Drosophila melanogaster: one gene and its partners. The protein of the gene in region 1 interacts with the protein of each later gene in a pairwise test. Each region holds a gene or a part of one and is shown in the gene's direction. Other genes may lie near its edges.

Evidence for each region.
Region 2: the proteins of jp (region 1) and CG2310 interact in a two-hybrid assay, tested with the Drosophila melanogaster proteins (one large-scale study listed by BioGRID).
Region 3: the proteins of jp (region 1) and nSMase interact in a two-hybrid assay, tested with the Drosophila melanogaster proteins (one large-scale study listed by BioGRID).

The regions. Positions count from the first base shown.
Region 1 is NT_033779.5:9,560,582-9,572,133, reverse strand, and holds the start of jp (junctophilin), read left to right. Parts: upstream 1-5,383; 5' UTR 5,384-5,701; intron 5,702-6,695; exon of another isoform or gene 6,696-7,130; intron 7,131-11,552. Other genes in the region: brwl (brickwall), read right to left, coding at 1-178, 240-292, 381-625.
Region 2 is NT_033777.3:29,486,714-29,497,802, reverse strand, and holds CG2310 (uncharacterized protein), read left to right. Parts: upstream 1-4,284; 5' UTR 4,285-4,553; intron 4,554-5,051; 5' UTR 5,052-5,081; coding exon 5,082-5,407; intron 5,408-5,564; coding exon 5,565-5,632; intron 5,633-5,693; coding exon 5,694-6,055; 3' UTR 6,056-6,279; downstream 6,280-11,089. Other genes in the region: FipoQ (F-box involved in polyQ pathogenesis), read right to left, coding at 1-416, 479-803, 1,030-1,125; diedel, read right to left, coding at 3,577-3,924; Spase12 (spase 12-subunit), read left to right, coding at 6,765-6,788, 6,847-6,993, 7,050-7,175; CG2006 (uncharacterized protein), read right to left, coding at 7,275-8,258; CG2321 (uncharacterized protein), read left to right, coding at 8,627-9,496, 9,548-10,498, 10,552-10,662.
Region 3 is NT_037436.4:3,212,473-3,223,147, forward strand, and holds nSMase (neutral sphingomyelinase), read left to right. Parts: upstream 1-6,683; 5' UTR 6,684-6,831; coding exon 6,832-6,872; intron 6,873-6,958; coding exon 6,959-8,246; 3' UTR 8,247-8,453; downstream 8,454-10,675. Other genes in the region: hob (hobbit), read right to left, coding at 1-1,124, 1,182-2,220, 2,283-2,763, 2,826-4,891, 4,948-5,091, 5,146-5,421, 5,474-6,016, 6,073-6,199 and 1 more; RpL28 (ribosomal protein L28), read right to left, coding at 8,713-8,811, 8,995-9,237, 9,410-9,502.

The DNA.
Region 1 (11,552 bases):
GTGGCCAGACTGTTGTTCCCCTCCAAAGAGTTACGGCTGGACTTCAGGAAGGGCAGCAGGAACGCCATGTGCTCGGTCAGGTAGTATGGCTTGTGCTGCGGCTCCGATCCGGATTGCTGCTTTATGTAGCGGGATAGGCAGGCCCGAAGGTTTCGCCATCGCTCCTTGCAATGGATCACTAAAGATTATGAAAGTTCTGATTAATTTAAGGGATTAATGTTTTTCCTATTATTGCTTACCGCTTTCTCTTGTCTCCTTTGAAATAAGCACCCAAGCCTTTTCCTGATTATCCCTGTAAAAAGTTATTTAAATTAGTTAAGACTGAACGTACGGAACGATCTGGATCGTATCTTCTGGCAGCCGATGGACTCGCCACTCACCTGTTGCGGTACTCGGGCACCTTCTTGTCGTAGAGACACTTGTGGGTGCGCACCAGGTTGACGAAGCGGATGTTGAAGTCCTCGTCCGCCTGCATCACTCGGTTGGTGGATCCAATAGAGGCGCCTGCTGTTCCGGATCCCGAACCCGTTGGACTGTGGTGGTTGTAGGCGGTGGTGCCGTTGGAGGTTCGCTCCTCGTGCTCGCTGCTGTGGTTGTTGCTGCTGCTGCGGGTTGAGGTGGTCATATTCGTTGGCGGTATCGTCCCTCACAGAGCCACTAAAAGATACGTTTTAAATTTGAAGTCTATTTAGAGAAATGTTAAAATAAACAGCGATTACCAGGGGTTTGAACGGGTTTGCTGTCATGTTGCACGTTATGATCTCAAGAAATGGCAACTTCAAGTTAAGTTAGCCACTCCAATATTTGATTTTTAGACTTTCCTATCGATGTATGTATGTACCATACATACATATGTATTTATATACAATCCTATTTATTTTTGAGCTGGCAAACAAACAGAATTCTCAACGACTCTTTTTCAGCTTTTTTGCCTTTTCTGCTGGGGTTTTGTGTTCGGTTTCTTTTCGTTTTGTCGTGTTATTTGTTTGTGTGTTGGTTTCTGTTCAGTTCGGTTCAGTTGTGTTCTGTTCAGTTCTGTTCCGCTGTCTGTTGCTGCTGTCTCAGCAAACGAGGCATAGAGCTTTTCGCTCATATATATTTCGTGAAACTTAATAAAACATTGTTGTAGCCGTGGCCGTTGTTGTCGTTGTAGTTGTAGTTGTAGCTGTAGTTGCCATTATATTCAGTACAGTTTGGCTAGCTGGATAGGATAGGAAAGCATTGCGTTGCGTTGATGTTGACAACTCGGCGGCGAAACGACGACAGCCAGCAACTTTGTTTACTTTTCATATTATTATAGCCACAGCAGCGACAATGGCAGCGGCCATAAAAATAACAGGCAATCTGGCTGTTTGTGCTGCTTGTTTGTGTTTTTGTTGCCGTTTGTTTCTGTTGCTGTTGCTGCTGGCGTCGAAAGCTGAAAGCTTTTGTCTGCTTCACTGATAACAGCAACAACAGCACAACTAAAGCAGCAGCAACAAAACAACAGTAACAACAACAACAGAATGCTTCAGCAACAACAGCAACACTCTGCTGCAGCAGCAGCAATTCAGTGCAGCAAGCAATGTTGTGTTGCAATATCCGAAAACATGTTGGCCAAAACCAAATCCGCTGAATAGTCACGAATATGTGTGCGAGTACCCACCGCACTCACTGCTCACTACTTGCAAACGATTCGCTCTCGCACCTGCGACTACCTGTTTCGATTCTAATCAGCCCACTCCACCTGTCCATTCACTCGACTGCCTACCCTTTTGCCGTCAGCCCCTTTCTATCGCGGCGACACTTGGGCCGCTCTTAAATCTCCGACAGTTTTCCCGCCACTTTCAGCACCTTTTGGGCCCACCAGTTTTGCAAAGCGAAAAACGTGCGCACAGTGGGATGGAAGTAATCGAAAAAGGGCATTACCAAAAGTATATCAAGGAAAAATATAATAACAATTTCCACATTGCTTGGAAACCTATTAGATGGTATTTTATATGTATATATATATTTTTTGGACATCTGTAAGTAAATCTCTGGAAAATCGTAGGTAATAATTCCCTTCAACTATTAATCTTAATATCAGGTTCAGAGTCCAATAAGTTTTCTATTTTTTCGGACATAAAAAAGTAGCAAGAGAAAACTCTAGCACTCTAAGCTGAACCAAACAAAAAATTAATATTGCTTTCCATTTTCGTAACACTTTGGTCCCACTGTGCGCTGGCAGCATTGTTGTGTTCTTTGGCCAGTCATCATTATTATCAGCGAACATCATTATCAAGGCGAACGTTGCTCGCGTGTTTTGGCTCTGCCCGTTGTTGTTTTTGTTAATGTTATTGTTGGATTGCTGTGTGCGGTGTGGGCGGGGGGAAAATGGAATGGAATGGGAATGGCGACTGGAAGGGGCAGAAAAACAACTAACCTGGGCTATATGGCAATATTTATTGTATTACGTCTATTTAACATAAACATATCAGCATGAGCGCGTACTAATTCCTTGAGAAATGTTCATGTTTATCTATTAACAACGGGGCTCAGCAAAAAGTACAGCAACGTACAAATCGAAAAACACAGAATCAGCAACAGCCAAACACAAAACCCAACGGAAAACAAAAACAACAACAAAAAAAAAGAATTTATTTCTAAAGCTAACAAAACACAGAAAACTTGCAGAAATACCCGGCCCGCTCTTTGTTTCCCTCCACCAACAAAAATACATACAGTATATTGTATATTCCGTGGCCCAATGACAGCAACAACAACAATCGCAATAACTTTGTTAGATAGACAACAACAACAACAACAATACACACAATACACACACACATTCACAGGCAATCGCACACAAGGAAACAATATGGCATATAGAATTTTTCTTTCTGCTGCTTATCAGGCTGTTATTGTTGCTGTTGTTCCTAACTTGTGATGTTGTTCCAAGCAAAGAATTCATTACCTTTTGGTTGGTATTCGTCGTTGGATTACAGAAAAACTCCTGTTGCAGAGGCGATTTCAAAACGCAACAACTCCTTGCTCGCAGCGATTTCAAAACGACACGATGCACGGCACACAAATAAAACGGCGCCAAAAATATTTTTGTTGCTGCTGCTGCTGCAGCGACCGACGACTGACGTAACGTTCAAAAATGTTGAATTCGAAAACTCGCGGTCGAGTCGACGGTGCACGGCGCTCGGGAATCGGCGGCGGACTGTTGGATTGTTGGCAATGTCGTATGTTTCGCGTACCAAGCGACCAAGGCGACTAAGCACACAGAGAAAAACACACAGACACAGCCACAAATGCGACTGCTGCCCTGCGAGAGCGAGCGGTGCACTGAGAGAAATAGAGTTGTCACTTGGCAATTGTGAAATGTAATATAAAGATGTTTTAAATTGGTAATGTATTATTAGCCCCAAACTTAATTAAAGGGAAAAATATAAAATTATTTGCAGACTTTATTAATGATCCATGTAAGCGGTATTAATTTAATAGTTATGAGGTTCAAACAAGTACCAATTAAACACGTATTCCCTCAGTGTATCAACCAGTATCTATCGGCTACGTAGAACACTGAAGCAACAGCAACAACATGACACGAGTGGACGGCGAGCAAACAGAGAACAACGCACACTCTCCGCCGCACACACACAGATACTAACACGGACACACACCAATGCGCCAATACAAACACACACAGCTGGCTGCTCAACAGCAGGGAACTTTTTATTGTTGTTGCTGGCAACGAACAACAAATAAGACAAACAATGCACACGCACACGAATGACGAGTGTTTTCGAGTCGGAGAAACGGCAACTGCGCGGTACGAAATGCAAAGATACAGATACAATGAGTTGGTTGTCGGTTGTGGAGGGTAGGAAAGGGACACAGGCCAACAAAAATAGTTGCACTGCATCAAGAGTGTTGCCTGTCGTTAGAGGCTAGTCACCCACCCCGAAAGGATCTCTCAAAGGATCAGCGGACTACTAGGTAATCCTGATCGAAATCGATTGATTCAAATGGATTTTCAAAAGATATATCATGTTCAAGATCTTTTTGTTGGGCAATACAATTTTTACATATGTATGTTGATTGTTATGTTGAATATAACTTCAGGCTTATTATTACTGTCTAATGGTAATGTTTCTATTTATTTCCACGTCCATTAACATGTATAATTGGTTTTCCCCAAAATATGTTAGTGAACAGGTGACAGTCGCAAATAGAAAATACACATTTTTTACGCTGTAACTCTGACAAAAAAAATAAAACACAGGAACCCAAATAGTTTACCTGAAAACTTACCTGCGAATTTCCAGTGATCATAATTCCATTGTGCGCTTCTTCTTCTTCTTTGCTCTAACTCTCAGGGAACATTGAAACAACAACAGTTGCTTACTCAGCACCGCACACAAACATAAACTGCGCTCTCACGGACACTACAACAGCTGTCGCTCTCAGAACCAACAACAAAGCGAGCAAACAAAAATCATGTTGTTGTTGCTCACAAAGCTTTGCAATTTCTCTGCCGCTAACATCGCTGCTTTTGTGTAGTTGTTGCTGCCGCCCGAGTTGCCAACAAGCTTTCCAACAACATTTGTTTACATTTCAAATTTATTAGGCGAGCTTTTCGGACATTTGAACAAGCTTCGTGGGCTACTCGCTAGGTGGCGCATGCTACTTCCGGTATAGATTTGAACAGCTATTTTTTTTAATTTACTTCAGAAATAAAATAAGCATTTATGCATATTTAAATATAAATAGATAAATATACCTGTTTCAGTTTCGTTAGAATGCACAATTTACTCTTGACTAAATGACTTCCGAGCAAACAAAATATTTAAACAATATTGTTAATAAAAAATAAGAAATGATTACTTAAGCTCTTACGTTTCCCTCCAACGGTCATTTGATATGTCATTATCCAAACACTCATATTGTTATTCACACGCGAAAAGCTCGACAAAGCTCAAAAGGACTCACTCCTTAGGCCAAAACTGTCAGGGTTTATGTATTCCGCCTGACAGCAGACCACCAACCCAGTTATTTCCAGCACTTTAACGATTTGTTTACAACTTTGTTGCCCTGCAATTTACCGCTAGCATACGGACCTGCCAGCCAGCCCAGCTTTTCACCCCTTTCCGACCGCTTGGAAAAGCTTTTCTCGGCGGGCAGGATGTCTTGTCCTGCGTGTGCTCAAAAATTCAATAAAAAGGAGGCTCGTTTCTGTTGTGGCCTACATGCCACAGCAAGGACGAGCAATCGGTTACCGAGCCGAACGCGGCCCGAGGAAAACTTGGTCACCGGGTGGGTAATGGGAAATGGAAAAGGGCCGAAAATGGGGGCGGGTGGCGAAGCAAGGAGCAAGGAGAGAGCTTCCAAGTGCAGCGGAGCTCAGTTGCCATAGGACAGTCGAGGCGAGTGCTCGTCCTTGGTCGCAACGGGCTCCCGGAAAAGCGGTCCATCGGCTGTCGAGTGTCATTGTTTTGGTTACGCGACTGCCCCGCTAGTGTTGGTGACCATCTGTGTGCGCTTAAAAATATATTCGACATGAATTATTTACGCAAAACGAGTGCTGGAAAGTTTTGAAAAGTGCGGAGAACGAGTGCGGAGTTGAGTAAGCGGAAAGTTTTGACTCGAAGAACACTTTGTCTGACAATTTGCAGCGGCATCAAGGATGCAGTCTCCTTTGCACTGGGATGAAGAATGCATTTTCCGAAGCGCAGTATGTGACTCTTTCTCTTTTCAGTGAAAAACCCCCCTCCATTTTCGCGCTCTGTCGCTCTCTCTCTCTCTCCCGCTCGCTTCCTATTGTTTTTCTCAGAGTGTAGAGTTTCGATTTCGTTAGAAAATCGAAACAAAAGCGAACCAGGCTCTCGAGGAATTGTGGGAGTCGTTGCTGCGGCTACCTGTAGATGCCACATAAACACACACAGATACGAGCGCAAGGATGCGAGTGTGTGCGAGTCCTTGAACGAGGCTTTCGGTTGCCCACCCACATGCCACATCCGTATCCGTATCCATGTCCATGGCTGCCTTTCACTGCCCGCTTCCGACTCTAATTAACTTATGATTCAAGGTCCAATACGCTGCCACTGAAGGTTAAACATGACGACCCAGCGATTTTCGGTGGGGGTTTTTTCGTAAGAAACTTTTAAACAGCCCGCTGGCAGCTGTAATTGAGCGAATTCCGCGGAAGCTGCACTAAACTTTTACCAAGAATCGGCAGGAGTCAAGTTTTTGCCGCGACCTAACTCGAAAGTCGTGTAATGCGATAAAGTGGAAACTTAACCAGGGATCATCTAGTAGTTAAGCGCACACAAGTCGTAATTTTATTTGGCTGCCAGGACCCCAGAGACTCGTCGGCAATTAAGGCTGGCCAAACAATAAGCCACTGGGCGAAAACCCAAAAGGAACAAAAAAACAATTAACGTTCTAGAGTGGAAAACCCGCATTACGCATACGCCACGTCGGCAGTCTGGCAACTTTGAGGTGCGACCTCCGGGGGCTGTGGAAAAGTAGCGGGGGCGCCGGAAAAGCTCTTTCCCGCTGACCACCGGCGGTGCCATCATACTCTCTCACCTCCCCGAGAAAAATCCCGCCCCAAAAAATGCAGCAGAGAGCGGTTTCTTGCCGCTTTTTTTTTTTGTTTTTTGGCTGCTCCGCCGAAAAACATTTTCATTTCTCGCCTGAGCAGAAATTTCAATGATTTCCCTAGCTCAGTGTGAAACGAACCAACAACTCAAACGAAACGAACGCAAACGCGCGCGCGAGAAAAACAAACTAGAATAGAATAGAAGAAATTAACCTCTCCGCCGAAAAGGGAAAACCCCCAAAAAATATATAAAATAACACACGAAACGCTGAGGTCGGGGGCCCTAACCCAATGCTAACTGTAAACAATAATCGAACAAACGAATTTTTAAATTAACAGCGAATGAGTAATACCTGAGCGATTTATTAATCAGAAGCCGTGCGAGCAACAAAGAATCCACAAGTAGCTGGCCCACGGATAGATAAATAACTGCACAGATAATTGCTGGTACACGGTACTGGGCTCTATAAATAGCATCGAAATAATCGCGGAGACAATTGCAGGGCACTGGTGCAAAGTGAATGCGACTGAGTGCTGCCGGGCGGAACGCCGAGGATCTGTGAGTAGATAGAATAATATCCCCCAAAACCGCCGCATCCCGATCGCCTGGCTGCGAAATCGAAATAACAAACTTCAGTCACCTTGCGTTCTGCGTCACACACTCGGATACTTTGGGGAATGGGAGTCGTGTGGCATGGGTGTTTGCCTTCTCCATCCTCGCAACTACAGTAGAGCTTCCATGGCTTCAGCTGCACCTATTTCAAATGTCTGAGCCTATTTTGTATTGTAATTTAACTACACATGCTATTTATTTTCTGATCTTCCTGGTCAAATATGATATATTAATTAGTTTTTTAATTATCAATTCAAATTTTTATAGAGGTCATTAAATCTTCTAGTTCTCAGCACTTCTTCAATGGGATATTTATTTATATTTATTTAGCATAAAAGCTTTAAAGTGTACACTCAGTGTGAAGCTTCACTGTATTTGCCATTTGCCGTGTTGTTACTGCTGGTACTGGTACCACACGGCGTATGGGTGATGGCGAGCGGGCCAGCGGTTGGATGAGTGGTGCACACTTTTTATAGCCAGCAACAGTCACACAAGCCGCACAATCAAGCGCTCGTCTCGGTGTTTATGTCAATTTGAATTTTGCATGCGGCCAACAAACTTGAATGTGTCCTTTATGTTGGTGTTGTTGCTTGCGTTCTGAAATGTATCGGTAGGAAAAGGAGGTGTGGAAATGGGGGGGGGGTCGGTTTGGGGATACCGGAAGCTAACTAGAACTGCGCTTCATTGCAACTTTGTGTGCGACCTTTTGGTTTTGGAATGTGTGGGCAGTGGGCGGGGCACTTGTCGGGCGGAAACGGATATCCCGTGTGCTCTTTGCCTAGTTCGCCATCGCCGCCAAGCGCGTCTCCTGTTTGTCATTTCATCAACCTTCTTCTGGCTCCTAGCAGCTCCTCCTTCTGGTGTCCTTGCACATTTGCTGCGCAGGAAATTTTAAATCGAGTATGTGCCCACGGGTTGTCTGGTTGCATTTTGCTGTTTTTGCGGCTTTCTTGTTTGCTCTGCTTTCTGGGTGAGTCCTGATTTTTTTTCGGATTTCCCATCCTGTTGGCCACTGGGTCAGATTTGTTAGTTCACAAAGTTCACAACAGACGCAATAAAAGGAATTTTTAAAGCCACATTAAGATGGAACTGAAACTTTAAAGATTTTTCAAAAATTGTTTAAAAGTATAATTTTTCCGCATTTTTAAATGCTCGATATTTTTTGCAGTGTGTCGCGTTGGGTCGAAATGTATCTTCTACACGGCAGCAGAAAGAAGCCAATGCAAATAGCCTGTCGGGGGAACAGACCCACAACGTAGAAAAGAGGCGGACTGGGGGAATTGTTTCTCCGGTGGCTGGACTGCTCCTGTTGCATATCCCGTCTCCTGGACTCGTCCTGCCACTCGGTGGCTCGTGTGTCCTCCCCCGCTGGGCCTAGTTGCTCATTCTGGGCGGCACAACTTGCATATTTGCCAAGATTTATGTCTGCTGTCAGACACACGCACACTCATCCACACATGGACTTTATGTAACAGCTCCCAGGAGCAACCTAATTTCCGTTGCCGCTGCTGGTTAAACAAGTTTCAGCCACTCATTGCACATCCTGTGGCCCCTTGTGAACTTACCAATCGGTGTCGCCACGCAGCAGGATGCCGAACCTACTCCGGATTTCGGATTTTAAATTCCAAATTCTCGACTAGAGGAAAAATCTGTGAGTTCGCGTATCTGTGCCAAATGGTTGGCCTAACTGGCAGCATCCACGAGTGCGGTCCTTGCCTTCGAGTTTTAGTGTTATTGTTATGCCTAGTTGGTGTTGTAATCCTTCGGCCTTCACTCCCACCCACAGGCATAAATACATGCCGGTATTAGGGGCTGCTACATCCCATAAACACCTAACGTCGGTGCTGATGTCGATTGCTGTTGTCTCCCCCGACTTTTTGGCTTATCGCGGACATCCAGAAGCACCGGGGTTTAGGATGGCCACTGCCCTATCCGCACTTGAGGATAATAAATTAGGAATTCAAACTTTTCGTAACCAAATGCAAAGAACTCAGAATCAATTAAGTATAACAATCATAACAAGGTGTAAACTAATGATAGCTTTTAGTTGAGTGCCTTGTACCACCAATCGGATTCACCTTACTATAATTCATATTCAAATTTTCATAGACAATAGTCGGCGGGCACTATTGTTTCGCCCGATGGTGTAGATGTATCTCAGTGTGAGTGCGTCGGGCAATTTCCCTGCGTAAGAGTGTTGGTTGACTTCAAGCAGCCTCAAGTTGCTGTCGCTCGTTGTTCTCGTTATTCTTATTATGTCAACCACCCAACCACTCCCCCTCATAACTGCCATTTGCGTAAGTGTAAGTGCATAGTCGTGTATGAGTGTGTTAGGTGCATGTGTGTTGCTTCTCAATCCTTTTGTATTTGCCACAACAATGAACGTTGAACATACACACACACACGCGCAATGGATGGGGCAATGGCAATGTGAGTAAGGCAGACTCGCCACATGTGTATGAATATTTCATTATATATATCGGATTTCTAGAAGCCCCATGCCCCTTTTCGATCCAATTTCGCCATCACCCAGCTGTGAGAACCCGTCAAGTCCTTCCCAAGTGCCTGTCGTTTGGCCTGATTTCAAGTGGAACTGCTTCTGAAACACATCAGTCCGATTTCTCTAATTATTCAAGTGGAATTAAAATGTAATACAAGCTAAGAAGAGGTAATCCGATTTAAACATGCCTAAGAGATTTCAGCAAATAATAAGATTTTGAAATATTAAAAAATCCCATTAAATTCATATTTTCATAAAAGCAAATAAATAGTGTATATATTTTGGACATTTAAGTGTCAAAAGGTCAAGCTTTAGCAAAATCTCTAATGCGATTTTTATTTGCCTTCGAATCAATGTATTGTGCTTAAGTTTCCCATTAGCATGCCAGTATCCGGCTTCTTTGATGGGAGAAATATCATCAATCAAATCCGCTCGTGATTTGCATCATTTGCCTATCAGTGTCCGAGTTCCACCAGCAATTTGCCACCATCTCCTCCGACCACAAGATTCCATTTCGGATTTGGACTGCCTGTGGATTGTTTTCGGCTCGGAAAAATGTTTTCATGTTTCGATTTCCGTCATTCGTCAAACTTCCACCGAAGGTCAAGGAAAGTGAGTGACTCAGACATGTATTTCTGTTGCTGATTTCCGCCATCGTTCCATCTCCGATCTCTGACCAGAACGGAGGAGCAATGCCTGTCCGTAAAACACGAATGATAAAAACAAAATTAAATGTCTACGAAATCGAACAGATATCGTAAATAATGGAATTCAAAAACAAGAAGCACAAATATGCTTGGCAATCAAAAACAAATTAAAAAGAACATTTTAAATTCATAATCTGCCAGCCAGGAAATTGAGATTTCTCTGGATCGGACAGCTGTTGTTTGGGGCTATGGAATTGATTTGCTTTTAGTTGGGAATTTCACTAAGGTTCAATGGCAACCTCTTTAAAAATGTATTCTCGTGCTTGCGCAAAAATTTACCTGTTTTTTTCTTCCTAATGGGGTATTTTCTAATTAAAATTTGTAGGATGTTTTCTGTGTTGTTTAGAGTATGCTAACTTCTGTTTGCGGGTGACATGATGTTCCATTCTCTTGTTTGTCTTTTAATTTAGAAATTGTATAACCTGTTTACTTTGGAGCAGAACCATCATCCACTCCCCTTGTAGGCGGGTGCGTGTCTGTATACTCCAGTTAATGGCCTGTGACGTGTACAGCAAAACAGCTCCACCCACAAAAGGAGCTACTTTGCGACTGCGTTTCCCACATGCCCGAGTCAGGGGAGGATTTCCCTAAGCTCCTTGCCAAGGGGGAACATGACCAGATGTGGGGTAATTGCATTTACAGGAAAGTGGGGCACATGTGACGGTCGACTGCATATTAAGTGGCCACTGGCCAGGGCACTTCAGTTGGGCCATAAAGTGCATGCCCTGCTATTAGCTCTGTTCGGGAATAACCAAGACCGATATTATCCACAAACCATTTTCAATTATCACCTATTAATACCAGGTCTCGCCCCCCACCGGAGAGATCTTTGTGACGGAGGTCGTGAGTCAGCCGCACATTAAACGCCTGTCATTCAGCCAATTACCTGACCCAAGGCAAACAAAGCAGAGCGAATAGAGTATATACACCATTGCGATCTATAGCTGCGATAAATGGATGGGGATGGATGGATGCATGGCAACGATCACGATTTGTTCGTTCATTCATATTTCTTTATGACCAAATATTGTTCATGCTGGTCTATAAGTATCCGCTATGTAACAGCTGTTTCGGGACGAGAGAGAAAAGATGCAAAAGCAACAGATTCTAATTCAGTTGCTGTGGTCCGTTCTCTTGGCTGCTTGTCGCTTTCCAGTCTCT
Region 2 (11,089 bases), on another chromosome or scaffold:
GGTGCCGTTCATGAGCAGGCAGGTGAGGCGCTTGGAACGCTGGATCAGGGTCTTCAGGGTGGAGCCGGTCACTTTGTTGCAGAAGTTGACGGCCAGGCACTCCAGCTGGATGCAGTTCGAGCTGAAGGCGTCGATGTGCGAGTCATCGATGAAGTTGATGCCGTACAGGTTGATCACACGCAAATTGGGCGTGGCCGACTTGAGCTTGTGCACGTTGATCACCTCGTAGATCTCCTCCTCCTCCTCCTCGCACTTCTCGTACGTGCCAATTAGATGCAGCACCTCCAGGCCGTTGATGAAGTTGTAGATTTTGCGCATGAAGCCCTCCATGAAGATCACCTCCGAGAGGCAGACGCACATGTAGCGCAGCTTGGTGGGAAAGGCCTGCATCTCGCTGAAGTCGTGCAGCTGCATGGCTAAGAAGTACACAGGACACTCTAGAGTTTAAGACGGACGATCGGCGACGTGGCGCACCCACCTGTGGAGAAGTCCAGCAGCATGTGGGTCAAATTGGGGCACTTGGCGGACAGTTCGTGGAGCACCGTGTGCGTGATCAGCTCGATGGGCAGCTCGATGTAGCGCAGAGTCGGTCCGAATCTCACCGAGATCAGCTGCAGCAGCATCTCCAGCGAGCCCACGTGCAGTCCGGAGACCTCCGGTCGCAGGCTCACGTTCTTCCACAGCCGCGTGTCGTATGCAATCTGCCGCCATCGTCGGCAAATCCTGGCCAGGCGGCAGATCTCGCGGTGCGACAGATACGAGAAGATGTGCAGCAGCACCTTGTCCGGCAGCTTCTCAATGGTCTGTGGATGAGAGTCACGATATATAGTGGTATATCCTATGGTACTACATAAGTGATTCAAATATGATCTCTAAATGTAAATCTAAACGACAGTTCGGAATAGTTGAGTGCGAATGTGGTGCTATATATTCTACGGGTGAGTGAATCTATAGATACTCTCTCTTACGCCACAGACTGGCTCTCCCAAATGAGTGGGATCCCTAAGTAATATCCCAAACCCATCGTACCGTATCGGCGAAGGGACTGCGAACTGTGCCGTCGGAGAGGTAGACCTGCGATGCCTCCACGGCCAGCTGACCCCAGATATCGGTGGATATATCCATGGCTGGGTGTGGATGATTCGGAACCACTTGCTTATATAAAAAAAAAATATAGCTACACACGGGGCAAACTACGCGTGCTCTGCCTGCGAGGCGAGAATATCCGTCGTATCGAGCTACTTTCGCGCTACTGCGAGCCGCATTCCCATCGACGTGCCATCGGAATCTCCAAAGATCCGCCAGGCAGTAGTAGACTCAAGAGAACCCTAGGCTTATTTATAGACCAGCGCCAGTAACGAGAGCACTGCCACATCGCATCACTCAATCACTCTACTTTCGGATGCATCAGCTGTGCTGTTCACGGGCGACGCACCACACCACTCACGCACTCTTTAAGAACAAATAGAACCACTAGAACCACCAGCACCACTCACCCAGCGGTGCACGTGGAGAAACATGCTGATAAAATCCCTGCCAAATCTCTTCCTTTCCTCGTCAGATTCAAAATCATTAGTAAGCTGTATAAAAGTATCTCGAGATATTTTACTATATTTTACTTATATCTAAAAGTATCTGATATTGCTGATAGTATCTACCTTTTGTAGGTTCGGATAACCTATGGATTCATCTTAAGATATTTCTACTTCTTAGATACTTTAAGATGCATCTGAAAATGCTTCTGTTTCCCGAGGAATAACCTTCTGAGCTTTATCCTTTAGCGCCTACTTTAAGATACATTTCCGCACAGCCTGCTTTTGCATATATATATTTAATAGTAATAATAGATTTCGAACCCCTTTTACTTTCTCAGTGCACAATGTTTGTTGCCAAGAATTCTATATATACGCCATCGTTCGTCTGTCTGGCTTTGTTTTGTTTACTACATCTAATATGTATATCTATCTGCACATGTGTATGTTCTATGTACAGGGTACTCACCAGTCGGGTCTTCACCACGCCAGAGTCGTGGAGTCCGATGGCCTGCGAGGAGGTTTGCGCTGCCAAAACATTCCAATTATCCATGGTGGGCACTGCGCTCTAGTTCGCGATTTGGATTGGGATCAGCCGGAAAGCTGAAGGTGTTCGCTGTCTCAGCTGTACAATATGTATGTATGTATGGTCTTGCTGGATCCGTCCGCTTCTATCTATGTATCTATGTATCTATGTATCTAACTAAGGGAGGAGATGTGCCGGCTATACTCGCATGAGATACATTCATTCATGAGCTAAACTATTTCTGCAAGGCTTTCCCAATTAGTCACACTGAATTCTGAGCATTTCAAACTAATTGTTATTTAGAAATTATTAGTTTACAAGCAGCTAAGCTAATTAAATTACCACATTTTGAAGCAAATTAATAGGAAATCTATATTCAGTAGTCTATTAGTTCTGGAAAGTATAAGTATATTAAGTAAGCAAGCGAAAGCAGTTAGTTAAAACTTCGTTTTTACTATGTTATTTACCCATTTGATTAGTTGATCAAACGAAATTGTTAGACACTTTCCGCAAATAAACGAGTGCGAGAAGGAAAGCTTTTAATTAATTAATTAATTGATGCCCGCAGGCGATTAAAATAGCAAATTCACAATTATGCAAACTCAGTGAACACACACACATTGTTCACTTGCGACTTTTGATTTTCGACGAGGATGGGCGTCACATCTGAATTTGTTTCATCCTTCGCCCGGTTTATTAATAGTTTTCCCTCAGCTGGTGGATCTGGTGGAAAAAACTGTTGGGGTTGCAAGTGCAACGTGGAAAGTGCAGTTTCGTAACTTTAGCACTTTCGTTGCAAGTTGAAAAAAAAAACTAGGGAAATTCACTTGGCAAATTCACTTATTCTGTTGCAAATTACTGGCAAATCGGATTGATAAATTCCGGCGAAAATCGACGGATTCTGCGGCTTTACATGGGCGAATGCTCCGCGTTCTCGACGGCTCCACAACTCTGAGAAAACTGAGAAAATCAGGCGTCCGCGGAAAATGGTTTATGCCAAAATTCACTCGGCTAGTTGATCGTACTACATGCGGAGTACATGGCTACATGGGCATCTGGGGATCTGTGGATCTGTGGATATGGAGGGGTTATTCGGGGCGATCTCTGCGAGTGCAGGCGTCATTTGCTTTTCCCATGGCGAGCGGCCAACAGAGGGGCGGTTGCCCAGGGGGCGTGGTCGATCGTTGGGAAACAGATATTACAAATGCTAGAAACTACAAAAAATCACTTCTTATGATTTGAGCACTGGATTTTATTCAAAAATTAGCCCATATCATCTCAGATTTTGATGATAGTTGTTTTTTTTTTAGTATAATAGTTTTAGTTAATAGCGTAATTAATGGAATTCAAGATTAAAAATAAGAATAGTTCCTAGTAATCAGATTGAACTGTTTACATTTGATTAGAAAGTGGGAACCTTATCAATTTCATGCATATATAAAATAAAATACACATAATTAATTAGTAATTTCTGGATGCAATTAAAGCTTCTCTTTATTGTTTATGTGATGCAAGGGGTTAAAATGGCAGCCTGGTGACTTTGATGATCTGGATTCCGTACTGCTGGTTCCTCCTCACAAATTCCTGTGACCAATCGCCGCTCAGACAGCCGCCGTCGCAGTTGCAGCCGAAGATGTTGCACGATCCCTGGCCGCAGTAGGCGCCCAACTGGGCAACACCATCGGCGCAGATCGTCACTTCGCAGCCGTTGGGATAGTTTTCGATTGCACGCACAGCCTCGCAGTCGCCTCTGTCCATCTTGAATTCCACCAGCTCCCGGGAGGTGCAGCATTCCGACCGAGCCACATGGACAAAGGCCAGGGCGCAGATCCCGACGAGAAGCAGGCTGACTACTGGGGATGCCATGATTGGATTTACTGGGAGAACTAATGCTTTTCACCCCGGCAAACAGCGATTTTATACGCTCACAGTGGGTGCAGGGAATTCGCTTAGTTGGCAAATGCGCTCCAAGTTATTAGGAAAATTGATTAGGCCCAGTTCTCGGGAAATTTACTTCTAACATAACTCAAACACATAGTCATGAAATACTGTCTAGTTACTGCGCTTTAGTTTAAATAAAACTTGTAATAATCAAAAATAAAATTTTAAACACAGATCACTTGTAACGGAAATCCCATTTGAATTTTGGTGATCGGCGTTGCCAGACGGCTAAAAGCGTTAGCACTAGCGGCCCGTTCTGATCAGAACGCAGTGGCGAAACGACGGTCGTTCAGTCGTTTCTTCGCCGCTCAACCGTTCGGTCGCTTCTTCGGTCGCCCGCCTATCGATATCGATAAACGTAGGTGTGCCTGCAGTGCGCCTGTGTGCGTGTATGTGTCAGCAGTGCAGTTTTCCTGTTTATCCCTGAATTCTGTGAGAAATGTGATATAGAAACAGCATTAGCGAACAACTAAACGCTTTGCGCAACCGAAATTCAGCTGCTTAAAGGGACATCGAAAGTGGTAGCTGCAAACATTATAGTTTGTTTATATCTGGTACAGTGCGCGTTGCAACCTGTTCTATGTGTGTGTGTTTGGGCAGGTGCGACAGTGTGTGTGTGTGTTAAGGGACGCCCAAAGAGTTGTTGTTGTTGCAAAGTTATCGATTTTAAATTTCAAGAGATGCTCACTATCGTCAAAAAAAGGAGTTTTTTAAACTAATCAGATAAGCTAACAATTGTTAGTAACTTCTTAGAAAAAAGCTTCGTTACAAACTCAAAATTGCTGTTAAATTTGAACAGCTAGTAATAATGTTCTTTCTCCATTTGAGGAAATGTAAAACGAAACCCACAATTGCGTTTAAGCAATCATCTTGAACGAATTGGGCATAATTACAATTAGATGAGCAATTAGAGCGCTCGAAAAGTGGCCAATTAATTAACTTGACTGCCCATTACCATAAGTACTTTAAAGTTGAATTAAGATCAACTTGACCTGGCTGGGGATCAAAGATACCCATATTCTATTCACTATTCACTTGTCCGCTTATTTCAGATACTCCTGCGAGCAGATACCATTCGCACGATGTCGTACTACGCGGAGCGAGCCCTGTCCCTACTCTACCCGCTGGCCATCGTTTCATCGCTGGTCTGCTGCATCACCTCGGCGGTGGCCTGGACACACTGGCAGTACGTGCTCAATGCCTGCCCGGACACCAATTGCGGCTGCGTGCTGCACGGCAAGAGCACGTTCCACAGCTTCGAGGGCGGCAACGTCGCCTACTGCCACTTCGCCACCTACGGCCTGCTGCTGCCGCTGCTCTTCGCCGTCGTCCTGGGCGTCTACCACGGCTACCGCATGTGCATCGGTCGGGGCAAGCCCAAGGCGGGCACGGCCACCATCCGTCAGCGGTAAGAGCGGGCGATCGCGATCGAGTGTCGGCGGGTCAATGGGGTTAATCGGCCAGCCACACTCGTTCGTCTGTCTGGCTATGAGTAATGCCATCATGGGCTCCAACTTGGAGCAGCATCAACTGTTTGCTTACGCCTCTCTGCTCTCTGCTTGCAGCTCCGGTGACATGATCGTGGTGACCACCGAGTCGGAACTCACGCCCGATGGTCTCTCGCCCTACTACTGTGAGTGTCCATCGTCTCCGAACTTAACTATGTACAAATGTGTAATACTTAACTAATTTAGGGCTGCCCGCCACCGTCATCTCGACAATAATGGCCGTCTACCAACTGGTCTACTCGGCCGTGTTCACGGATGGCTTCGAGGTGACTTGCAAGCAGTACAGGGAGTCGCTGCTGAAGGAGATCCAGGGCGTGGGCAACATTGTGCCCGTGATCAAGTCGCGGCTCTCGTGCGCCGCCGTCTTCGACTTCATGGACTATCTGGTGGAGAGCGTGTCGTACGAGCGGCGACGCTACGGGCGCATCAATACGGCCGCCTGCCTGTACTTCACCCTGGTCTTTGCCTGGATCGCACTGCTCGCATGGCTGCTCGTCTGCGTGATCAATGTCGTCCAGCTGCGGCGCACGAAGGCCGCCAGGGTCTGAGTCCTGCCATGAATCGGGAGGCGCGAGGTCCTCTACACTTTACATTCCACCTGTTCGCCTTTTAACTTATTTAGTTAGTTATAGTGACACACAAGCCAGAACGTCCACGTTATGAACGCATTGTACAAATAATATACATATGTATGAACAACGAGCGATTATTCACATCGCAAGCCTTTTCAATAAAATGACTATAATTGCATTAAAGATATGCATGCATACATATATGTAAATGAAGTTAAGTATTTTAAATGGGCTATTAGTTTGCATTAATTGGCGTGGTTTAAAATTATATAAATCATTTAAAGATGCAACATTTTTGCCTTCTATAAACTTATTTTACATATTTTGCATAAGAAAAGGTGAACTGAACTTATTTATTTTGTTTCAAGAGCTTACTCTGCAAAGGAAAACATCATTTAGAGAGTAATAATCTCCGTTTTGTTTGCATATTTTAAATTTAAAATAATAAAACACAATTGAAAGCTACAAACAATTTCGCTATTTTTCAAACACACTTATTTTGAAAAAGAGGGAAATAAGCATGTACAAAAATAATGGGAAATTCACCGAGTTCCAAATTCCAGTATATTCTCATCCCCTTGGCATTTTTCGCTCGGCACGGTCACACCATTCGGCTGCTGACGTGCCGCAAAAGAAAATTGTTTACGCCGAAAATTGTTGAATCGCAGCTTGTGAATTGCACAAAATGTTGGACATCCAGACGCATATGGTAGGTATGCTTCGCAACCATTAGCACATAACACTAACACGGCACTCTACCGCCGCAGGACTTCGCGGGTCAGGGAAAGGCGGAGCGCTGGTCGCGCTTCATCATCACGTTCTTCGGAATTGTGGGCCTCGTCTACGGAGCCTTCGTGCAGCAGTTCTCACAGACCGTGTACATCCTGGGCGCCGGATTTGTGCTCTCCTCGCTGGTGAGTAGCTGTCGTGTTAGTAGCTCCATTGCTAACAGCACGAGATTCCTGCACAGATCACCATTCCACCGTGGCCGCTGTACCGTCGCAATGCGCTCAAATGGCAGAAACCCATCGATACGGACGCCAAGTCGTCGAGCTCCGAGTCCGGCGACGAGGGCAAGAAGAAGAAGAAGCAGTAGAATCAGTGGGATCAGTAGTTAGTTAGGCCAGCAGTTACGTGTACTTCTCACTACATCCAATATAATATATATATATACATATGTATGTCCATTAGAACGCTAGATGGGTCGTCGGTAGGCGATGAGGTCGTTGTGGTCATAGTACTTGTGGATGAGATCGTACATGTGGGCGAAGAAGAAGAGCAGATTGTCGTACTGCCCATTGTAGGGCGCCTCCCTGCCCACATTCTCACTGGCAGCTGTCTTGGTCAGCGGCTCTGCCAGCTGATGGAAGCCCGCGGTGATCTCCAGGTTATCGAGTCCGCGATAGGCGGTGTTCAGGCCCCAGGCATTGATGTGCACCTCCAGGAGGAACTGGTGAATGGCCTCGATGGTGGCCAGATACCAGCGCGGACTGCCGCGCTGGTGGCGCCAGAATTGCGACAGTCGATTCTGCAGCACCACCGTTCGTAGGCCGCGCACCCTGGCGTCCGCGTAGATCCCGCGACTCTGGTTCCATGTGCTGTCTATGAAGACGGCTCGGCGGACGGGCAGGTTGTCTAGCGTCCAGGTTCGTCGCACCGTCTCCGGCTCATCTACCTCCTCCTGCAGCTCCTTTACCTCCACCTCGTCCATTCGCCTGCGCAGCATGGTGCCCATGTGGTGGCCCTTGGGCAGCCCGTAGTTGTCGCCGATCTGAAGCTGCACATTGCGCGCGAAGAGCTGCGGCACCGCAAGCGCAGTGGCGCTTGGGAATATGAGCACTACGCCCGCCTCCTCGCGATAGTCGGGAATGTCCGGAAATGTGTGGATCCTCACGTGCGCCGGCGCCAGAACGGCCGCGTGCACCGCCGAGCTCTTGCCGTCGATTTCCTTTTTGTGCTTAATGATGTCCACTTGGAGCGGCAGCTCCAGACGTGGCAGCAGCTCCTCCAGCTCGCCAACCGGCACACAGCAGCTGTAGCAGAAGAACTTGCGCGATCGGTTGCACAGGCGGCAGTTGTGGCGCCCCTCGATGGTGTCCAGTGCGCTGTGGTCCGCGATGCGCATATGCACGAAGGGGTATTTGCGGCTGCGCTGCGGCGCCTCCAGCGGATGCGTCATTTTAGCGGAAAGTCAACTTTTTAAATTGAAATAACAAATTTCCTATTAAAGTAGCCAATTTGGTTATCGATAACAAGCGGCTGATGCGACCAGGGCTGCGCAGCACTGCCTACACAAGCTGGCTGGAATAGCCCAAATGTTATGAAAAATAAATGTAAAATATATGTAGTGTATGCAAAAACTGTAGCAATAATTCAAAAGTAAAATTAATTTAATGCACACATATGTAGAATGTGTGTGCCAGCCCTGCTGGCATCAGCGCGCGAAACGGTCACACTGCGCCACGCAAATCAAAAGCCGGCAAACTTTTGCGAAAACTAAGAAACGCATTTTATAGCCATTTTCCGGGAATTTAAGATGCAAGAGTCATGCGCGGCGTTCGCAAGTGTGTTCACTGCGGCGCCATCAATGGCAACCGGGCGCTGCTCTGCAAGAATTCCGAGTGTCCGCAGCGCAGGAACGTTCTCGATGCCGTGCAGCTGGTGTCGCTGCGGCCAGGCTCCACTGTCTACTCGCTGAGGACCAAGGAGAAGGAGCAGCAGCCGCGCAACTTTGTGGTCATCCAGGACGTCACGCTGTCGCTGCAGCCGGACGCTGCAGTGGTGTCCAGCAAGGCGGAGTGCTTCGTGGAGTCGTGCAAGCGAACGGGAGGCGAGCCGACGGACTGCGTCCATGTGAAAGCTTGCCGGGAGCTGGGCGCCGAGTTCGCGAAGGCGCAGGTCTACCGCGTGTCCCGCGAGGTGCTGTGGAACCTGAACATTAGCCTGGAGCAGAAGCAGAACCTTTGGCAGCTGTACAAGTACGCGGAGGAGGAGGAGCACCTGCCGGGTGTGCAGCGCCTGAATCACTCCACATTCGCCGTCAAGTGCGAGCGCTCCGAATCCTTTCCAGCGGCTCGACTGCACGTCACCGTCTCGGCCAATGGCCTGTCCAAGAAGAAGAGCAGCTACGCCTGCGCCTGCCGCAAACTGAAGATCATTGTGGAGCCAGATAATTCGCTGGTGATGCAGGACGAGATCTGCGATCACCTGCTGCTCGTCCTGGCTGGCATCCTTAGTTCGCCGCAGGGAAAACGCGTCTATGGCCATTTCACCAGCGGTTTGCAGACCTTCTGGATGCCCTTGCAGCTGGAAACTCCGCTAGGCGACGTGGCCACCGAGGATTTGCGGCTCAGCCTGGACATGGTGGATGAGCTCGACCCGCAGGTGGACATACTTGTCTTTGGCGACCAACTAGATGTAAGTTATACCTTCCACCTCGAGCAGTTTTAAACCTTTTCGTGTTTATAGCTTTCTCTGCCGAATCTCTCCGATGGCGTCTTTAACCTGGACACCATGCAGGCCGCCACATCTAGCCAAAGCGCCTCGAGCACCAACGATGCCCTGATCCACTATGCCAACGACTCGCAGCTCTTGTCCAACCTCGATGTCTATGCGGAGCCCATCGAGCTAACCGACTGCAATATCGAGCTGATGGATCAGTTCCAGCCCACCGACCAGCTGGATATATGCAGCGAGGATATAGAACTGCCCTTGATCAGTGAACCCTACAACATCCTAGCTGCTCCGCCCATTTTCACCGAGGCCACGCCCTCTGTGGTCGCCGATCAGCTGCCCATTGAGCTGGCCACCATATCGATGGTCAAGAAGGCACCGGTCAAGTTCTCGGAAATAGTGACCGAAGTGAAGTCCCTGAAGCAGCCCTCTCTGCCGGCCAAAAGGGAGTTAATCGTGAATGGTGCAGCGTCAGCTGCATCCGCTTGCTTGGACGCTTCCGTTCAGCCGGCTCTATCCTACTCGGCATGGCTGGATCATGTGATCGAGCTGCTAAACGACAGTTGCGAGCCATTGGAAACGGAAAGCAACACGCTTACCAAGCGCTTGGTGCAACAGAACTTCCATGTGCACAAGGAAACCTTTTCGCATTTTTGCAAGAGCTTCAGTACTGGAGTCAAGCGACGTCCGTTGGACAAGCTAACTGTGATAGAGTCGGGCAAACATAAAGGCCTCAGCAAGTACACCTGGCACTTTGCGAGTCCGCACACCGCGAAGCGCATCTTTAGCACCTCCAACGTACAGCTGCAGTTGGATCGCGCCTTCGAGCGGCATGCAGAAGGTCACTTCGTTCCCTACGTACGTCCACCGATGGAACCACAGGTGCCGGGTCAGCCGAAGAAGCGTATAGTCTACCCGAGACTCAGCCTTTATATGGTTAAGATACTCTTCGAAGCGGCACCAAAGGTGAGTTGGGAATCGAAATGAAAAGAGCTCGTTAGTAAACCTCTATTCCGCAGGACTACGTCGGCAATGGAGTCCTGGTCACCTGGACACCGGATGTTTTGCCCCGCAGCCAGTTCGGGTTGATGCACGTGGAGTTCACCGTGGAGACACGTCCGCCCAGATAGGGTGAGCTTGCAATTTGATGTTCTTTATTTAGACGCTTTCAATGTTGTCTGTTCCATGTATCTTTAGTCCATTTCAACTTTCATTGGCTTACGATTAGCTTAGGTGTACATACATATACATACATATACTCATATCATTAATTCTGTTTATCGCGAGATTTTGTCCGATCTCTGTGGCGACTCCTCCGGCTGCAATGGCCTCTACAAGCTGCGGTAACCTGTCAGGATGTGGGGCAAATGCTTCGTTCGTTCTTTAAAACCTATGGTCTGCCTCTGGGTATTTGTATTTGTATTTGTATCTTCATCTATTTGCTTAGCTCTAAAATCGTGGGCATGCTTAGATACTTAAGTTCTCGCTACATTCAGCTCTTTCTCATGAATCGTTTGTTTATATTTATATTTATATTTATATTTATTTTTATTTGTA
Region 3 (10,675 bases), on another chromosome or scaffold:
CTTATAGCAGAGCAACATCATGTCCAGGTCCTCGCTAAATGTGTTCAGCTCCTCCTTGCTCTCCCGGATCATCTGCTGGACATGGTCGTACTCTTGGCGCAGCTCCAGCGAGTCGCCATCCTCAATACGCTCTTTGCTGATCATGTGTGTATCCTTTTCCAGCGAACGAATCTTCATGAGTAGACTTCGGATTACCGTCTGCTTCTGCTGGATGGGTCGCTTTTGATCCTCCGTCGAATGCAGCTGAAGCTGGAAACGCATTCTTGTCAGCTTTTCTGCCGCCTGCTTTCGCTGGGGTTCGACGTAAAGCAATAGATTGTTTACAATATCCAGAATCATGGCGTACTGCAGCGAGTTGGTGCACACATCCAGATCGTGATGCATAAGTGTGAAGGCATCTACGGGATCGTCTTGTTTTTCCCATGGCGATTGCAATTCCTCTGAAGGGGGCGGCGGCACCTCCGTAATGCTATTCGGATCGATGGCATCGCCGTAGCTCACATAGAAAAACTCGCACTTACACTTGGACACGATGCGCTGCAGTTGCACGGGTTGAGCCCCTCCCGAATTGTCGCTCAAGAAAGCTCCAACAGTCTCTGAGACTACACCGCCCACACTGCGTCCACTGCCCACCAAATGTGATATGTCCGGCAGGTTGTTTATCACAGTCTCGTCCTTGTCCTGAATGTTGTCCACCGTCAGCCACATGATCTCCTTCTCCAACAGGGAATTATTATCCCCCGCGCTAACTGTTGCATAGTACTGCATGCACTCCAACAATCCCTTCCATGTGGTTTTCGAGATCAGCGAGCGCTCGCGCCAAACTGGCCGATGTTCCCGCTGCAAAATTTCAGCTTTGGCAGCACTGATAATTACGTAGCCAGAGGTCTCACAGCCCTTAAGCAGTACTTGTGAGTTCACCAGACTGATGGACCAGTTCTCGTGGATAATATCCTGGGCGGAACATGCCTGCAGGCCCTGGAGCTGCAGTTCCCTCGACTGGGTGCTATGATCATCACTATACACATTGAATTTGTGGTCCGCCTCTGCGATGAGCTGCTGCAACATGGCTGTGGCATGAATCTGGGCGGGGGCTTTTTTCATCGATGCATTTGGATTGGAAACTAGAAAAAAACGTTTTTTAGAAAAGAAAACTTAAAAGTTATCCTTCCACAACTCACTTGGCAAAACCTCGTTGTTGGTGCTGGACAAGGTAATTGTGCTGTCACTTCGCTTATGTTTCAAAACGGCAGAGTTTGGACCCTCCTTGCGATAGCTCTTTACCGCCTCCGTGGACAAATTGTTTTTCAGTTTCTGTGACTTCATGAAGGAATCAAAGAGAGCAAAAGCCACATCTCGATTGCTCTTTGTCCAGGCACCCTTTAGGTCATAGACCACCAACTTATGCGTAGGCGTCGTGGACTGGGCCTTAACATCCTCTTCCGTGCTTGTAGCCGTCGTGGGTATCAGTGCCTCGCGTCCATAGGAAACCTTGGCCACGCTTAGGAAGTAGAATCTCACGATTTTGAAGGCATCTGCTGCACTGGCCAAATTCTCAGAGCTACTGTCCATCTTCTCGGTGAGAATACTCTTAAGCCAGATCTCGGCGTCATTGAGCTCGCAGTTCATGTAGATTGTTGACCAATCCGCTCGTGGCCGATGGATGAGCCCATCGTCAATGGGATTCAGTGTTAGCGAGTGCTCAGAACTAAAAGATACTCGGCGGCCGTTCAACTGGAATCCCTTTTGGAGGGCGTGGGACATCCAGTAAAGAACTTGAAACTTATGCAAGCACATCTGCAAGTTCGCCTTTTTGTAGTGTCGACTAAGGGGTTTCTTACGCGGTCTCACATTGTTAAAGACCGGACCCCGTCGCGTGGGCCTCGTCACACCTGATAAAATGAGCTGCAGACTCTCAAACCATCGCAACGTGCTGCCGTACAGCACCAGGCTGGGTATGTCCACTTCCAAATCTTCGCCCGCCTTAGGCTTCGTCTCAAATGATATCCAAATGTTGAGATTTAGCGAGCGGAAGGCGCGGAAGGAGTCATGGACTTGATTACTCGAGTACTCCGGCAGCTTGTCGGGGGCACAGGGCATCACAGCATGGTGGTCGTTGGGATTAGCCAGGCACACCCATTTCAGCTTAATCGTCAACTTAAGATTGGGAAAATGAAGCAGACGACAATCGTCGTAGCGGGACGCTGTTCGTACAGTCACCTAAAAGAAAAGCATATTTAAATTCGTGCAAAAAACTATAAAATTATAAGCTACACACTCACATTAAGTTCCCCTTTAAACATGATCTTGGCATTTGTGAGTACAATGCCGCAATTATTCCAGGTCAACTCCATTTCCTCTGTTGTGTTATACGGATCGAGCGATGCGTGCAGGAGTATGGTAAATTGCTTGGCTATCAGAGTTAACCGACCATGCAGAAGCAATCGCAGCTTATCCCAAAATGGCAAAGGGGGAGAGGGATCCTTTGAGGGCGCCGATATCTTCTCGAAACTTAGATTGCACTGGGCCATTACAGGTTCCCAGCAAGCTCCAAAGGCGTAGCTACAGCTCTCCAGTTCGCAATCAAAGTCATGGTAGAATTTTAGCGAGGGCATGCTGCGTTGAATCACATCCGTACCAAAGGGTTCACCCACGTCAATGAACACATCTCGCTTGGCTCGCTTGGAGCCCATTTGCTCGGCTCCACAAAGGTTTCCGTACAGTCGCATGCTTTTTACGCAGAACATTGGTTGCGGGAAGTCCCTGAAAATTTAATCAATAGATTATAAATATTGAATCAACTCGTCACAAAGATTCCCACTTACCTCAGCATGAATTTCCATTCAGTGCAGCTGATGTTGACACCGCGGCACCAAAGTGTAGAGAACTCGAGACCCTCCTCCGGCCACGGACTCTCGTGATCTATTTCGCGCATAATGCGCGTCACATTATTGTAGCCATGAATGGAGGTGTCCGCCATTGCCATAATATTCACGTCCGTCATGATCCAGGCCAGCAATCGGGTGCGTACTGGTCCACTTTCTCGTATTTTCTTCGAGCGCTGAATGTAGATCTCCGAGTTCTTCTTCACCAGGTTGGCGTAGAGACCCTCAATGGTTCCAGATGGCAACAAGAGACGTTCTGAGCAGAGCTCGCCGATCTTCTTGTCAAAAAGCGCTTTGCGCTTCAAGCTCTCCAAGTATTCATCCACTAATAGAACATAGTTATCACGAAGTTTCACCTCAAAGGGATCGTCGCTAATTTCCAGCAAGAACTCCTTGATCTTAATAACCAAATCACAGGGTAGCGGTGAGTCCACCGTAAAGGGTTTCTTTTTGTAGTTGTGAACCATTTTTAGCCATTTAAAGTGCGATGTGCACTCTCCATTGACTGCGTTATAAAAGTCGTGGTCATACGGGAAAATGGCTTTAAAGGATCCAATTGTGGTGACCCACACCTTGTTGGAGGGCAGTTGAAAACCAGGAAAGTTTTGTCTTTCTTGGGTGAGTACCTCGAGACGTGGAACTGATTGTAGATCCAGCTCCTTCACTGTGAATATGTGCTGATCATCGATCTTGACAAACACATTCTCCGCATAAATGATGCATCGTTCCTTTTGGCTAAAGAAGAGGCTTTCCACAAAGATCTGAATTGAGTGACGATCAGAAAACTTAATTTCGAAGATGGTGCTACGTTCTGCAGACAACTCCACTATGAATCCTTCTTTAGGAGTTGTTTTCTTAACAGACGAAGCAGGAATAGCCAGCTCTGTCTTCAAGTCCTGCATATCGCGCACCAATGTCAACAGGTGCATGTGCAAATTAGAGTTCCACGTGGCCTCCATGTTGCCGGGTATGTAAATGGACAACTTGCCCATCGTACCCTCCACTTGTTCATGCTCCAGTCGTATCATTTTGCATGTAGCAAAAACGTCAGAGAAGTCGGTGAGGCAAAGCGAAGAAGCCGTCATTGAGCGCATTATAGCCATCTGAAACTCTTCGAGCTTTAGGGTGGTCAGGCTTTGAGACCGTGATAAATTCAGCTCTGAGAAACTGAGCAGCGAATAAACATTGTGATGATTGACAAAGTAAGCCGTAATATCCTTGACCTTAACAGACACCCGCAGTGAGGTAGATGATTGTGATGGCTGCACGGACAATGTAAGGCCTGCATTTGGTCTGGCGTGAGATTGTCCCGACATATTCTTTGGTTTTATGCCCCGGTACTGCCGAAGGCACTCCATTGACTTGACCACGAATTCCGCAAGCTGCATGCTGTATTCCGTGCGAAATGTGTGCACTGATATGTCCAGTTTAGTGGTGTTTGCATACGAGCAGAGCTTGACCAAGCTCACTCCGAGGAAAAACGGCGAGCCTGGCGAATGAGTCTTTTTCAAGTTGTTGGTGTCGTTGATGGAGTTACCTAGATTTGACCAAAGAGTTTCCACCATGAGTTCCATGCTCCATTGTCGTTGATTCAACAACAAATTGAGGAACTTGTTCTCATAGAGATTACTTCGCTTTTCCTCGATCTGCTCCAAGAGGAATCTTGTGTGACTCACACTCATGGCAATATGCTCATCTTCCAGTTTCATAAGAAGAGAGACATTAAACAGTTCCGCACAGCCTTTAACAACAATTCGCTGCATAATCCACTCTAGAACTCCGCCCTCCCGTCGCTGATTCGCTCGCAGATTACTCTGCACAGCCGTGTCCAGATCCAAGTGATCCGGCAGGGACTTCTGCTTATGTATCAACTGCATTGGCTGCGCTTCGCTCGATCGCTGGCGGGCCAGAAAATTGTTGTTGACAAAGTCATAGATCTCGCTGTGATTATATATGATTTGGAATGTCTTCAGTTTTACATACAAGTTGAATATGTCTTTTTCCAGCTGAAAGGTATAGTATTATAATATTGCACTAATTGGGCCATAATGTGTTTACTTACCACAGAGTCTATGGTAAATTGTTCTACAAAGAGGAGCTTTTCATATTTGGTGTCAATGTCTAGATGATGAAAACCCAATTTGGCAAGCATTGACGGTAACAACGTCTTTTCATCGGTGACTTTCGAGTTAAACTTTCCCGAGATCTGTGCAGATTATGTATTATTATAGATTAGCTCATAGTAGTGGTATTAACCTACTTGAAACGACTGCAGTTTGGCACTAAAATCGTTCTGTGAGTTTTCTTTGACGGCCGAAAACGTTGCCGCCTTAATGCTAAAGTTAAAGTTCTTTGGTATAATGGGCGCCAGCTTCTCGTAGTTGTCATTGTCGTAGGACCTTTTCGAGGGAGCTAGGCCTTGAGTGGAGCGCCGAGATGGCTGACCGGTCGATGTCCTCCGCTTGGCCTCACTAAGGAACTCGTACAGTCCGCCGTGGATGACGGATTTGGCATTGTTGATGACCAGACTTAGGGTCTGCAAACGGGAATTAATAAAAGGAATACTAAGGAGTCAAAAAGTCACTTACATCCATGGACAGAGGGCCTTGGGCAAAGAGCGACGCATCCAGGGTCATGTCAAAGCTGACCTCGCCTAGGCAAGGACGAATCTTGTTCAGATTCTCCAGCGATTGACGGCGAGAGCTGCAGTGCCTCAGCATCTTGGCCTGTGCTTCGCTAAGGGCTGCATTGACCAACAGAACACGAGCATTTTGCACTATACTCCCGTCCAAATGAAGCTCCTTCGCCGTGGCATGGATGAACCACCCCGGATCAAAGTCATTGTTCATCAGAACCACTGATATGTTGTTCACGTGCACTGCCATAAATTGGGCAAAGGTGATAATACTCGCCGGCACCTTAGTTTGCCGGAAGTCTGGCACACCCTTCGCCTCCGAGGCTTTGCCCGCCAACGTCTGAGTCCGCCGGAGTTCGTAAGAGTCCTGGTCGTAGGAGTCATCCTGTCGACTGTGAATGTCTTTGTTGATGCGAATGTCACGGATATAAATGGAGAGCAGCTTGGTCACCTCGGTGGTGAAGAAACTGCTGCGCAGACACACCTCCTCGATTTGCTGTAAAATTAGGAGTGTTTATCGCTTGGTAACCAGAGTTCGAAGGTTATCCATACCACCGAGAATCCACTCTTGCTGATGTGCACATTCTTCAGGGACAAGTAGGGCAGCGAAATGCGACCGATCCGTACTTTGACCCGAAACCTCTTCACCAAATACCAACTAATGCCCGTGGGCAAGACCCTAAAATGGAAAGTGATCAATTTTTTATGTTTATAACGATGATGGATCAATCATGGGGCCACGGAACAGGCAAAACTAACCAATAAACGAAGATGAAGAGCGCCAGGCAGAATAGAAGTAGCTGTAGCATCATGTTGTTGCCTAAATACCATAGTGTCCCAACATTTATGTTGTGCTATTTATGTTTTGAAATTTTTTGACTAAATACTGAACAATTTACTAGTTGCGGCAATAGAGTGACCAATGCATACTATTCAAAAATACCACAATAAGCTATCAGTTTTTCAAATACTTAGCCCTTGCAAGACAAGCTTGTTCGCAAAATGCATAACTTAAACAATTACCGCAATTACCAAAATTTTAGTTACAGTGTATAAAAAGAAAATGCATTCTCAATTAGAAATTAATAATGCAAAGAAATGCATCCCTGTTCATGTGCGACTTTGACTTGTCGCATCAACAAAGCTCGTCAGGGGTTCAGGCTTTATTAAATTTCGGCTTTCCCCAGACGGTCACACTGTGGCTTTATATCTTTTAAAAATAACAAAATCAAAAAGTTATCTTATCGCTGCTCCCGCGCCCGTTATTCCATTGTAAGCATGCGAACGTGAAAATTGGCCAAAGAAGTCGCTATGTTGCTGCTGGAGCTGAACATTCTGACCCTGAATATATGGTGAGAGCAGGCATCTCCTTCTAAGGCTGCTGGAGCCCCACTTCCCTTGACACCGATCTGCACAGGCTAATCATGTGCACTTTCAGGGGCATTCCGTATGTGTCGAGTGATCGCAGACCCCGCATCGATGCCATCTGCAAGGAGCTGGCTAGCGGGAAGTATGACATCGTGTCCCTGCAGGAGGTGTGGGCGCAAGAGGACAGCGAGCTACTCCAAAAGGGCACGGAGGCGGTCCTGCCCCATAGCCACTACTTTCACAGCGGCGTGATGGGCGCCGGTCTGCTGGTACTGTCCAAGTACCCCATCCTGGGCACTCTGTTTCATGCGTGGTCCGTAAATGGCTACTTCCACCGTATTCAGCATGCCGATTGGTTCGGCGGCAAAGGTGTGGGCCTGTGCCGCATACTCGTCGGCGGGCAGATGGTGCACCTATATAATGCCCACCTGCACGCGGAGTACGACAATGCCAACGACGAGTACAAGACACATCGCGTTATTCAGGCCTTCGATACTGCTCAATTCATTGAAGCCACCAGGGGGAACTCTGCGCTGCAGATTCTGGCTGGCGACCTGAATGCCCAGCCACAGGACATCTCTTACAAGGTGCTGCTCTATACCTCCAAGATGCTCGACAGCTGCGACTCGGACTCTTTTCGGACCAACGAATGCGAACACAACTCATACACATCTAAGCAAGCACGGGAGAGAAATCCTCTGGGTATCCGTATCGATCACATCTTTGTGCGTGGTGGCGATCATGTAAATGCTGAGATAGCCGAATACAAACTGCCTTTTCCGGAGCGAGTACCCGGCGAGAAATTTAGCTTCTCCGACCACGAGGCGGTGATGGCCAAGCTGAAGTTATTCAAGCTGGAACCTAGAAGTGAGGAGCCAGTGGCAACGATCGAGGTGAACTGCCTGGTAGAGGATGGTGAAACCTGTTCCGTGAGGGAAGTAGGAGCAGGGGATGCTTTGACAGGAGAGGACGATCAGTCATCACAACACCAGCCGGAGATCCAATGCAATGGAAGCTCCACTTCCATTCAATCCATGCCCGCCGCTAGAACTGCTGCCCTTCTTGAAGCTCTGGCGCTGTGCGATGCTTCCCTGCTGCAGTTAAACACTGATCGAATACTGTACTACAGCGCCGCCACCTTCCTGTTTGTCCTCTTGGTCCTTCTGGTGGAGTTCACCGCCCCCGTGGGCATGCGCACTATCTTTCTGCTGCTCAAGTTCATCGTGTTTGGCGTGATCCTGTTCTGCGTCTTCATGGCCTCCATCTGGAACTATATGGAACGAAATGGGGTCCTGCAGGGCAAGAAGTCGATGGAGGTGATGCTGCACCACGCCCAGAAGTACGAGTACTTCTACTGAGGCTGTGTATAGCAGCCAAGCTCAATGCGCATTTAAAATCCACGTGTAGCGTACTATAAGCAGCGATATATGTTTGACTAGAGTTATAGCGCTCTTACTTGATCTTTTTATTCGTGTAACCGTCAATGCAATTCCATGGTCTCTTTCTGTGTAACGTCATCCATATCCCAGGAATAATAGTTCAATAAAAGTGAGAATCATTTAGGCAAACAAAGATTGATTGATCTAAAGATACCTTTTGTATCAACAATAATATAGTTTGTCGTTTAATAAGCAACAATATATATGGTAAGCTCATTCATGGTTATAGAAAATTTCATAACTACCGCCCCAAAGTATGCAGTACTTGGTCGCTACCCATTATCGACAAATAACCACAGAACTGTATTAATATTACGGTGTTTTTAATATTTTTTCTTTATTCTCGAGTAGAAAACAGCTCCGCATAGCCCCAATCTGGTACAGTTTATTCGGGCTTCTTTCCCTTAGCAAACTCGGCCTTCTTTCCCTTGACGGGGGCGGGCTTCTGGGAGCGCAGGACAGCGGAAGCGCGGCGGAGGGCAGCCTATAAGCACAAGTAAAATCATTAGAATAGGCCTAACACTGAAGTACGATAAGCTTCAGCTTTGAGAGCTTCAGATAAGTTTATCAACACGATCATTCTGCGATCTTGGTTGTGTAGCATTAAAAAAAAGATCATCATGACAAGAACCCAAACAGTTGTTTCTAGGCTTGGAGCCATAATCACCTGTGTCAGGTCCTTGCGGTACTTGGAGCCGATAAGCAGGTTCTTCAGCTTCTTCAGGGAACGGCGGGGACCGGCCTTGAAGTCAACACGCACGGTGTTCTTGGCGGGGCGCTGGGCATACTTGCCCTTCTTCAGCACGGCGGTGAAGCCCTTCTTGTCGGCAGCTGGCACGACTCCCAGGGTCTTCTTGTGCACGATGCCGCTGTAGCGGTACGAGCTCACGCTGGCCAAGTTGTTTGGCTCCTGGAAGGGATTTAGAAGTCAGTAATGTGCTTGTCATATCATAGTAGTGATGAAGCCAACTTTTATCAGATTAAAGTTACTATCATGTTGTATTCAAATATCATTGTGAAAGTTATAAGTTGGAAACATCATTTAAATGTGGTGCACGTTATTTAAATCCATATTTACTTACTGTGCTGAAGGGCTTCTTCACATCGCGCTTCTTCAACAAGAAGGCGTTGTTGTTGCGAATGATCAACCAATTGAGGTGCGAAGAGGTTGCCATCTCACGTCTGGAATAGAAGTTAAGAACATATTAGTAATTGCTCAGGAAAAAGCCATATTTAAAGTTTTTCAAAGGTATTTCAGTTTTGGGTGATGAATATAGTCTTCAAGAACTCTTCTGCTAAATCAATCCTCATTAAGCCACAACTGAAGTACTCAATATAGATTTTAATGCTTACCTTTTTGATCAAATCGCCAGAAACGCAAGCAAGAAAGGGGAACATGAAATAAAAACAAATTTCGTGATTAGATTAATAATTTCTATATTAATTTCTTGAAGAACTGCAACGTTTTCAGTTTTGGGTGATGAATATAGTCTTCAAGAACTCTTCTGCTAAATCAATCCTCATTAAGACAAAAATAAGGATTTTGAACACATTTTATATGCTTACCTTTAAAGGAAAATCAATAAATTACACAGCCAAAAGGTGAACATGGAACAAAAAGAAAGTCGGCAGTTAGATTATGTTTTTCTGAATAAAAGACAACGATATTTCTGTTATATTCAGTCTTGGGTGATGAATATAGTCTTCAAGAACTCTTCTGCTCAATCATTCATCACAGAATTAATCACGCATTTTAAGACCACACGTGTTCTTACCTTTATTGAAAAGATCCATGTAAAATCAGCAGTAGGAAAAGCAGCATGCAAAGAAAGAGAAAAACGATATTAAATTTGGTATTGATCAACGCCACGTTCGCTTAGTAATATAGACTATTTGATTAAGTCCATTATGGGTTCGCTACAAATTAATTCAAATTTTTATTCACTATTTGCCCGCTGCGTTGCACGTGTGGGTAAAACTCAATTTACCTCCGAGGTTTAGCGGGCCGGCAGCCAAATAGACGGCAACACGTGGTGCAGGCATTATACCTCTACACTTGCGGAGCGCTTGGGACGCTGAGAGAACGCTAGAACTTAACCAAATCGAGAACAAACGCAAAATGCCCACCTTTTCTCGTTGAAATACAAGAAGGAAAGAAATATGGCAGCCCGACATAGCGCGAAGTTGGCTGCGCTTGCCGAAAACACTGGGTTGCATTCTGTGTTGTGCGAGTTGGCAGGGCAACTATCGATAAGCATTTCGTACGCTAACACATAGCAGATAATATTTAAAATTTGTCTGATTTGTATTTTCAAAACTACATAACATGAATTTAATTTTTGCAAATT